Kluyveromyces lactis: one gene and its partners. The protein of the gene in region 2 binds, or shares a complex with, the protein of the main gene of each other region. Links are inferred from orthologs where the notes say so. Each region holds a gene or a part of one and is shown on either strand. Other genes may lie near its edges.

Evidence for each region. The genes of interacting proteins can lie anywhere in the genome.
Region 1: BRE2 (region 2) and SWD2 share a complex: the UniProt entries of both Saccharomyces cerevisiae proteins name them as parts of the set1C/COMPASS complex. The link is inferred for Kluyveromyces lactis from reciprocal best matches to the Saccharomyces cerevisiae genes BRE2 and SWD2.
Region 3: BRE2 (region 2) and SPP1 share a complex: the UniProt entries of both Saccharomyces cerevisiae proteins name them as parts of the set1C/COMPASS complex. The link is inferred for Kluyveromyces lactis from reciprocal best matches to the Saccharomyces cerevisiae genes BRE2 and SPP1.

Annotation. Positions count from the first base shown.
Region 1 is NC_006041.1:1,606,746-1,609,851, forward strand, and holds SWD2 (WD-repeat containing protein SWD2), read left to right. Parts: upstream 1-1,625; coding exon 1,626-2,606; downstream 2,607-3,106. Other genes in the region: MND2 (Mnd2p), read right to left, coding at 1-665; MCO12 (Mco12p), read right to left, coding at 984-1,235, 1,352-1,357; ATP-dependent 5'-3' DNA helicase HCS1, read right to left, coding at 2,588-3,106. UniProt on the Saccharomyces cerevisiae protein: The COMPASS (Set1C) complex specifically mono-, di- and trimethylates histone H3 to form H3K4me1/2/3, which subsequently plays a role in telomere length maintenance and transcription elongation regulation. Involved in mediating RNA polymerase II termination.
Region 2 is NC_006039.1:939,629-944,003, forward strand, and holds BRE2 (Bre2p), read left to right. Parts: upstream 1-2,135; coding exon 2,136-3,353; downstream 3,354-4,375. Other genes in the region: KLLA0_C10923g (uncharacterized protein), read right to left, coding at 1-1,847; SNX4 (Snx4p), read left to right, coding at 3,684-4,375. UniProt on the Saccharomyces cerevisiae protein: Component of the Set1C/COMPASS complex that specifically mono-, di- and trimethylates histone H3 to form H3K4me1/2/3, which subsequently plays a role in telomere length maintenance and transcription elongation regulation.
Region 3 is NC_006040.1:618,333-621,158, forward strand, and holds SPP1 (Spp1p), read left to right. Parts: upstream 1-1,297; coding exon 1,298-2,326; downstream 2,327-2,826. Other genes in the region: MCP1 (Mcp1p), read right to left, coding at 103-954; KLLA0_D07282g (uncharacterized protein), read left to right, coding at 2,783-2,826. UniProt on the Saccharomyces cerevisiae protein: Component of the Set1C/COMPASS complex that specifically mono-, di- and trimethylates histone H3 to form H3K4me1/2/3, which subsequently plays a role in telomere length maintenance and transcription elongation regulation.

The sequences.
Region 1 (3,106 bases), on a different chromosome or scaffold from region 2:
TAACTTGTATCAATTAATTGTGAATCCTCAACAAACGTACCTCTCGTTCTGTCGAGCATAGATCCTTGTTCGTGAACTTCCGCATACTCGTTATCGTAATCATAACTTTGATCGTACTCTTCTTCAGATTGTTCACCAACTTGTGCTGTCAGCAGTACCGATTGTTCTGTATGTTGATGATTATGATTTGACACAATAAATGAAGAGGAAGTTTGGTAGGCATTAAGTATTGGTTCTTGCCCTGAATTGTGTTCATTTTGTTGCTTGTTCTGTTTACTTCCCTTCTCCTTTTCGATCTCTTTTAGGGTTTTATCAATGCCAATAGGTCGCAAACTTGAGTAGCCAAGAGATCTTATCAGCAATAGTGTCGATTTATCTAGAATGTTAATGGTATTGGAATCAGACACATCTCCGTCATTATTGGCAATTAAAGGTTTCTCACTATGGCAAGTATACGCCGCAAGAGGAATCAATCTCTTCCCAGGCTTGATCCGTCTCTTGGTATCTTTATCAATGTTCCAACTCACCGGTTTCCCTTTTCTGCTTGTCTTGCTTTGCAGAAGCTCTTTTCGTAGATTGTTTATCAAAGGAATGTTATTGAAATCGGATGGTGCAGAAGGTTGTCTGAAGGCATCAAGGCCATACATAAACTCTCCAAGCCCCATATCTTACTTGTAAAGCCTACTGTCTCCAAAAATATTTTGTGAACAGCCTCTTAATGTCTGTTATTGCCATTGACACAGTGGTGTTTAACAGGACACAAGTAAATCATGATTTAAAGGTTTTATTTTAAAAGAAATAGAAAAAGCATCAACAAAAATAAGGAGAGCTGTACTACTCACCAATTACCAGTAGTTAAACGCCGGCGTCTTGATGGCATTCACTCCAGTTATCTTATATTTGATATGAATTGATAGAAGACACTAAAAAGAACTGAATATTATATATTAGTATGTATGTTTGAATAAACGTTATTGGTGTAACTACAGGTTACGCTTTCTTTCCATATGATCCAAGAACTTGTCAAAAGGAGTCTGTTTCCTAAAATAAGCACTTCTTTCAGCCATGTTAGCCAACTTATCGAATAAGTATTCTCCCCAGTCAAGATACCGTTTAATATAATTCTTCAAGTCAGACATTTCATAAGCGACAACATAATTGTTACTTCTACGCAATCCAGCCAATACCATAGACAACAACGCTAAGTCAATACTGTAATGAACTATATCTTTAACCTGATTGGAATTTGATAAATGCAGTTAAGATTACCTTTTAGTTAGTAAATCAAAGTCCGTTGATGAAAACGGTGGTGTATCTAACCACCTTCTTCAAAAAAATGAACGGTACGTACACCCATGATTCTTATTACAAATCTCAAATATGTCAGTTCTTTATAAAGCCAGAGTAAGACCAGAAAGGCTCTATTTCTCTACCTGCAAGTGACTAACACTATTGATTTCTTTGACAGATGTCATTACAATTTCGAGGAACATTTAAATTTAAATAAAACTGTTAACACCATCAAGAAATATTACCAATTTGGAGACAAAAAGAGAAGCTCAACGGGACACCAGCGGTTTAGCAACAGTTCTGTGATTATCTAAAAGTTAGCTGAGAAAGGAAATATGACTGTTAGCATTTCCAAGAGCAATCTTCTACGATTTGAGCCTGTGAAGTCCTTCAGAGTTTCTGATAAAGAATTGGGACCTATAACTTCAGTGACATTTGATGACCATGGCCAGTACTTGTTGACTGCAACTGCTAGTGATAATATGCATCTATATGATGCAGTAAGTTGCAGGTTTTTGAATACCATCGCTTCTAAAAAATACGGATGTCATTCCGCAAAGTTTACACATGCGCAATCAGAATGTATCTATTCATCCACTATGAAATCGTTTGACATAAGGCATTTGAATCTTGAAACAAACACATACCTTAGATATTTCCAGGGCCATGGTGCTCTAGTGAGCGATATACAAATGTCCCCGTTGGATGATACTTTTTTGTCTGCATCGTATGACGAATCGGTAAGACTTTGGGATTTGAGAAGCTCCAAGGCACAGGCCCTTATACCAAGTTTAGTCCCCACATGCATTGCTTACGATCCAAGCGGGCTTGTGTTCGCCATTGGTAACCCTGAGAACCATGAAGTCGGTTTATATAACGTAAAACATTTGAAGGCGGGCCCATTTTTAGTTATAAATGTGGATCCAAGCTTTGATCAGTGGAATAAATTGGAGTTTTCAAACGATGGTAAATATTTGTTGCTTGCGTCGTCCGCTGGAAAACATTTGATCATGGATTCCTTCGATGGTACACAGTTATTTGAATTATCAGGAACTAAACCTTTCCCATTGAGAGAGTTCATGGATTCTGGATCCGCAACGTTCACTCCAGATGGACGCATTACATTGGGAACTGATTACACTGGGAAGATCGCGATATGGAACCACGCAGACTTCATCAGTGGTAGGACGCTCAAACCTCAAGGATTTATTAACGCCGCACCAAATACATGTCCCAGAACTATTGCATTCAATCCTAAATATAGCATGTTTGTCACTGCAGATGAAACTGTAGATTTCTACGTATATAACGAATGAATTATACTGGGATCTGGATATATGACTTCGAAGCCAGACTCTACCCAGAGCACCCATCTATTTAGGAATGGCACTCGACATCTCGATAACATTTCCATGTTACCGATGACACAAAGCTGCCTTTTAGGTCTGGTCATCGCGACATTTAATCTTCTTTCATCTTTCAAGAACCCAACCTCGAAATTCTCGTTACTTCTTACTAAAGATAGGATGATGCACTCCTTTTCTCTACCTTGAAATCCGTCTACGGTAGATATCTCAATTGCTTGATGCTTTTCATGGATGAGTTTTTTCAACAGCGATACTTGTGAATTATACGGGGAGATCACACCAATACTTTCTTCCGTAACACCAGCCTTTATCAACTGCTCAACGTGGTATAATGCCAAATATGCTTCATTTTCGTTGTATTTTGAAGAGACTAGGTGGAACTTATCGTCTGCATCGTTGTCATTTTCATCAGACCTTTCTGGAAAGTCGTCTCCCTCAGTATCTAACCA
Region 2 (4,375 bases):
CCGCACATGAACACATTGTGAATGGCTACCCAAGTATAATTCAATTTTTTCTCTAGAGTTAATTTGTAGTTTATATTAGCGATATCCATGGAGCTCTCGTACACAACAATGAAACCAGCATTGTTCAGGGTAGGACATTTAGGAGATAAACCATACAAAATATGCTTTGTATAGTGATAATTTAGAGCAAAGAAGTCTATCGGAAATGAACAGTTCATCTGTATGGATGTCTTTGGGATAACTCTCTGAAACCAAACATCTAGTTGATTAAGGATAGCTATCCTCCAATCTTCTAAATCTAAAAACTCATCAGGAATGGTTGCGTTAGGAGCATACATTCTTTGCACAATTTCTGATTGTATTTTTCTTATTTGGAACATCGATAGACATACAGATTTGTAAGTTGGGTCAGAGTTAACTAGTGACGGGGACGAATAATCTCTGACATTATCTTCTGCAGTGGTAATCAACGCATCATCTAGGGAGCTTGGAAACATAGTTGTCACATTTACATCAGGAATGCTGACAGGTCTTCCAAAATATGCACATACCTGCCTATCCATTGAGTAACAACACCAGAAAAGCCGCCTACGAACATCTCTTATAAAAGGTTCATAGTTTTTGTTGAGTTTTTCAGCGTGTAGACCCAGATCCACACATAATCTAATAGCAGATCCAAGAGTGTACCACAACCCAGGAACCGTAGGTCTCATCAAAGAATATACAGCAATCAACAAGAGTCCTTGCAAAGCTTCGAGCCGATTAGTTTTTGACGTGTAAAGACTGTCTTGATATTGATCAGCACAAAATTTGAACAACCGGTGATCAAATCCGGTATTAATCAAAATTTTTGTAGAAAGCCCAATTGCAAATACAATGTTCAAAAAGAAAAACGGCTGATGGTATTCAACAGGAATCTTGTCTGCATCAGGATTTTCTTCGAGGTATGAAACCAACGTTTGTTTGAATTCTACTGGATTGAACGCCTCAGGAATTTGAAATATATCATTAATCTTTGTGTGGTCAGAAGCCCAAGATACATGAGGCGAAAGTGAGCCATAAATGGGCTTGAAATACTTCTGTAAAAATAGTTCCCGATGTAAGATTGGAAGTTGAGAATTCGAAGCGGTAAAATAGTCTGATATCATTGCTTCAGCTTGAGATTTTGACGGTATTTTAAGAGATTGTTTTTTTGTAAACCTTGGTATCTTATGAGCGGTACCACCTGCACTGTTTTTTTCATCTTTCGGTAGTACATCAGGTCTGAACTTAACAGCTGTGAACATCATTTTGGCGAACGAGATGCCACTCGAATCACCAAGATAAGATGCAGAGGGTTCCTCCATATCAGCTTCGTGTTCTATCTTTTGCTTGACTATGCCAACCTTGGAAAATTGATTGCTGGCATCTTTCAAATCTCGGGCGTTATCTACTATTCCATTCAACATCGAAGTACCTTTATTGATTATAAAGCCTGCCATCTCATTGCCATTGGGCAACTTATGCTTACCTCTTAACCTTTCCCTTTCCTCAAACAGGCCAATGTCGCATGCTTTATCATCACTAGTGGCTGGAATATTGCCGTTTGCGTGCTCTGGATCGATGCCATTCTTCTCAAGCAATTCTTCCAAAGCCAGAACTTTATCCTCTAAATATACAACATAAGAACGTGGAATTTCTCTTCGCGTACTGGGATCAATAGTTATGCATGGTTCCTGTGCCTGAATGCACTTCGTACATGATGGGAACTTATTGTCACACTTTATCTTTCTAATTCTACACCTTTTGCACGCTGCAACTGATCTGTAAATATTTCCGGAAGATTCCTTCGTAACTTTATTTGCCATTTCAAATTGAGGACTTTACGCTAACAACATCAAGAGAACACCTAACAAACACAAACTATCAATCAAAAGGATCGTGGAGTCTTATTCCAAGTATCTTGGTCTACTGTACTTCTTGGTTCGGTTTATTGTGCCTGGAAGTTCAAAAGACATTAATGAATCCTTTCTTGATTCATGTTTAATAATATTTTGTAAAATGTGAAAGTCTACATAAGAACAGATCGGTGTAATTTCGAGTAAACACAACTCTCCAAGCTTGTAAGGAGTGTACAAAGAAACGGGACATCTTCAATGAGTGTTCCAGTGATACCATACCTTGACTATGATATAGTAGATCTCGGTTCTGACATTAAAAAACCAGATTTTCCGCAATTGAGTGAATCTCATCGCATTAATGAACAACAGTACTATATCACTGAGGACACGCCATTGAATAAGAGAAACTTCATGTATCAGCCTTGTGCTGCAAATCTAATGTTGGATAAGCTCAAGTATTGTGGCACAGACTATTTTGATAAAAGCTCTATCAATTTGATGGATAGATCCGACAAATTAGCATTTTCATTGGACGACCATTCGGTGAGTGTCAGCGAGAACTGCGGGTGGAGGAGCGTTAGAAGCGACGTTTGTATGAAAGAAGGAAAAATATACTGGGAAGTGGAGGTGAAAAACGTTTCTGATACATCACACATCAGATGCGGGATAAGCAGAAGAGAGGCATCAACAGAAACTCCAGTCGGATGTGATTTTTACGGTTATAGCATTAGAGATAAAGGATTGCAAGTTATTCACGAAGGCCGCTTGCATACAGTTTTGAAACCACACGAGATGCAAGCAGGTGATAGAATCGGATTTCTACTGACTTTACCTTCCCTGCAGTCTCAAAGCGAGCAAGCCATGGATTATAGTTTAAAACGAATCCAAGAGCTAAACAACGACGACAGCCGCACCAACAAAAGGAATAAGAAATTCAATAAGGAATTCTACAAGTTTTTACTGCGTTCATGCGAGCCAACGAATGTAGTTAGAGATCAAATTGCCATCAGATATAAAAATCAATTGTTTTACGAAAGTACCGATTATGTCAAAACTACAAAACCGGAATATTATGACAACAGGGACGACATGCAAAAGTTTTACGAACTTGAAAACTCGAGCTTCGAAGTTTTCGTAAATGGTGTTTCCCATGGAATAGCTTTCGAAGGCCTTACACCATTCTTACCTCCGTTCAGCGAATTGCAGTACAATGAGAAGTTTTATTTGCATCATTGGAATAAACGTAATGTCACGAAGGGGATCGAAATAAGAAATAAATACGTAAACAACAACAGGCTAGGTTATTATGCCACTTTGAGTTCATTCCAGGGAGGCACTGCATCGATCATAACAGAAGCCATGGAACTCAAGTTTCTACCGAAAGATGTAGATATCAAAACTCTGAATGATATCTACAATGAGCAGATCGCAAGTGATATTGTATGGGACTTAATAGACGAAATTGATACATAAAATAGAAAAAGAATCTTTCTAAATACTCATTTATAGAGAACGTAACCGTAAATTAACATTATAGTTCTCCAAAGCTTAGCACTCCAATGTGTTGGACCAACTAGCACCGTGAAAACATTTCGACCGAATAGTTCATGGTTATAAAGAACTTAAACTATCCTTATACCTTATATTGAGTTGTTACCTTAAAAATAAAAAAAAATAGTTGGAAACACAGTAAACCAGAAGAACTTCATATGATAGAAAAGGGATCACTAAATAGAAGGTAAAACACTGTACAAGAAGCCGTCATATACTGACGCCAGCAATACGAATAATATCTCATGCAATATGAGTGAATCAGGAACTTTGACAAATAAAGAATCAGATACTAAAATATTAAGTGTGCTGGTGTCTGATCCTCAGAAACAGAAAACGCATTCGCAGACATATATCACCTATCAAGTATCCACGAAAATAGATGGCAAAGATGAACCGAATTGTGTGGTGAGGAGGTACAATGATTTTGTACTCCTACATCAAATATTGATAAACGATCATCCTGCACTGCTTGTTCCTCCATTACCCGATAAGAAAGTCCTAAATTATCTTTCAGGGGATAGATTCTCACATTCTTTTACTCAGAAACGTTGTCGTTCTCTTCAAACGTTCATGCGCAGGTTGTTGAGTCACTCAGAGCTTTCCAAATCCAGGATTTTGGAAACGTTTTTGACCAGCACAGATTGGGATGTTTATAGAAGGAGTTTGACGGGGCAAATTTCCACTTCTGAAGTTAGTGATGTTTTGATAAACGCTTTCAAACACGTAAACAGACAAAGGGATGAGTTTGTCGAGATTAAGGAAAAGAGCGAAAAGTTAGACCATAATTTGAGCCATTTGGACAAGCTATTCCATAAATCTGTGAAAAGAGTTGATCTGATCGGACAGAATTTGAAGAAATTACAATCCTCTTTATCAGGATTACAAGAACTTTGCTGCGATGAAAAGGAGCTATCAAACAGTATCAAAGCCTTTAACGATGG
Region 3 (2,826 bases), on a different chromosome or scaffold from region 2:
CACAATAAATAAAACTAGGTACAGGAAGACCAAAACAAGCGCCATGGTGAATAAAATTAACGATGAACGGTGTATCACTGGCAGGAAGTAAAGCATACATTTTCATGATAATGACAATGTTCTTAGGATTGGTCTATAATATTTGTCCATTCCGAATACGATCTCTGATCCCAATCTGCTTATTCCAATATATCCGGTACAAATAAGCAGCAATATGAAGTTCATTATTCTTTTACGAGTCTTTAGACTACGGACATGCATATATTGAACGGTTCCAGCGATAATATGATACGATCCTAAACCAATAAGAGCAACCAAGGGGCCATATCCGAGACCTATCCTCACCAAAGCACCTCTGTCTTTATCTAGTAGCCATTTGACAAAATCAAAGTCTATATCAACTTTCGCCGTATTTGGCAGCCATTTCATGAGGGCACCATGAAAGAATAATACTGGAGTTAACAACCATCCTGTAAGCTCTTGTGGATTATATTGAAGGTTTCTCTTGATCCCAATAAAGTACCCACTTAAACCACCTACAAGACCAATTCTAGATTGTGCAAGTGACTGAGTATCCAGCAAGGATTCGGCATTATGTGTTTTCGAAGAAGTAGGCAGCTTCCTCATTATTCTCAAGGCAAATCCGGATAATATATGTATTGATATCCCAGTCCAAATCAACTTAGATCCAAGTCCAGATGTGAGTTCTCTAACCATCATTAAAGCATCGTTTGGAAAAGAGGAGGGCTCAAGAGCAGGAATTATTAGGGCATTGATACCGTGTAACGGAAAGTACGTTACTAGAGGGAATAAAGACCATTTTTGCGTCCACCTTAGCCATTTCTTAATATTCAACACTAAATTGACGCTGGCATCCTCGGGGGTTTTTGCTAAATCGGGGTCGATGTGTTTGGTCGGAATGGGCTTCAACGGTGTCAATTTCGCAGCAGTCATGAAGTTTATCAATTATAAGTCAGCGAATCACGCACTTGTTCATATACTCAAAGGGCAAGTGATATTTCTGAGAATCTTGGTATATCTGTTTCTTAATTTGATGTTGGCTTATTCATTACATTCCATCTTTACACATTGCATCAGAAAAGGAATATTAAAATGTAAAAACCATTACACGAATCGATGAAGGTAAAATAAACAGAGAAATAACACAAATATGGCCTGTGAAGGGTACATGAATGGTTGCATTTGAATATTACAAAGAATATACTTCATTTTTTCTGCCTAGATATTTATCATCATAAGATAACTCCAGTATAGGATTGAATTTACAGTATTCACGATGTCATTACCTAGTTGGTGCCCCAGGTATGACAGCAGGAAACACGACCCAAAAACTGGGGAAGAAGTTTATTGTATATGTAAGAAACCAGACACTGGGGAGTTGATGGTAGGATGTGATGGATGTGATGATTGGTTTCATTTTTCCTGTTTAAAGATCCCCGAGAAATATAGAGATCTCGTTTTTTCATTCTACTGTTCGTATTGTAGTGCTGGAATTACAGGACCGGCATTGATAAATGGCGGCAAACTACCGAAAACTCTTTGGAAGAGGAAATGCAGGCTCCCTGAATGCTATACAGAGTGTGATGCCAATTCAAGAAGCAAATATTGTTCAAAGAAACATGCTGTTCAATACGTTCAAAGCATTGTTGATAAGTTAAATCTACCTGGCGTAGATAAGATTGCATTGTTGAGACAGCTTCTAAACGAGACAACATCATTGGAGGAATTTAAAACGCTAGGACGAGACAAGCTTCCAGAAGTCACGTCACCTTTATCCAAAGATCAATATTCCAAGTTGCTAGAAAATGATCAGCATTTAAACAAATTAATTAACGAACACGATGAGTTGGTTTCGGTCAAGCTTTCAAAACTAAATGAAGAAGATGCAGTAATAGAGAAATACGTCAACTGGATCGGTGAAGTTAACGAGAGATTATCCCCACATTTCAATCAGCCTACAGGTCGAAAGAAGTCGAAAAGTGCAAGTAAAGTTACAATATGCGGCTACCATAATGAGTTCACGATCCCTCGGTCAGTTGAGGAGTTTTTAGATAAGCTACTTCAGTTGAAAGAAGACGAAAACAGTAATATCACATCAGTTGACGGTGTTTGTGTAAAGACAAAATGTGCTAAGCATCAGGATTGGATTACATTGTCCCAAAACGATCTCTCGGAACAGAAGGACTCTCTAGAAAACGTCAAAAGAAGACTCGATTTACTAATTAGCGTCAGAACGAACCAATTGAGAATCTCATTCTTCGAACAAGAGATGTCCAATCGCGTCCTACCCGGTGTTAAGACCTAGCTCATATCTAATGTGTCACTTTTCTGTCATTACAATGAAGGCGAAACGCTTATATTTAACTTGTAGCATCAACTAGCAAGAAAAGCATGTATAAATAATTTAACCTAATACAAACATCAGGTTTTTCATATGCTTCTAGTCCAATAATTGAACGTATATAAGCTTTATCCTATCGTAAACCTAATTCATCTAATCGTCACATAGTTAAAGTCACTTACCATGTTATTCATTCTATGAGAAAACAATATAAAAATGAAAAACCAATGAGCTCAATATCACCATTAAGGTCTGGTTGTTTTACGAAATATAAAGGGGCAGGACAAAAGATAGCAGACATACCTTATAATTGTATCTCCTATTAGGAACCTCTATTCTCTCGCTGTAAGTTTCAAAGATATTGGTTTTGTGGTAAGCGTTTGGAGGAAGCTTTTAAACACATAAACTTACAAACAAAATATGGCAACAGATATCAGAACAAACAAGGTTAAGAACGAAGAGTT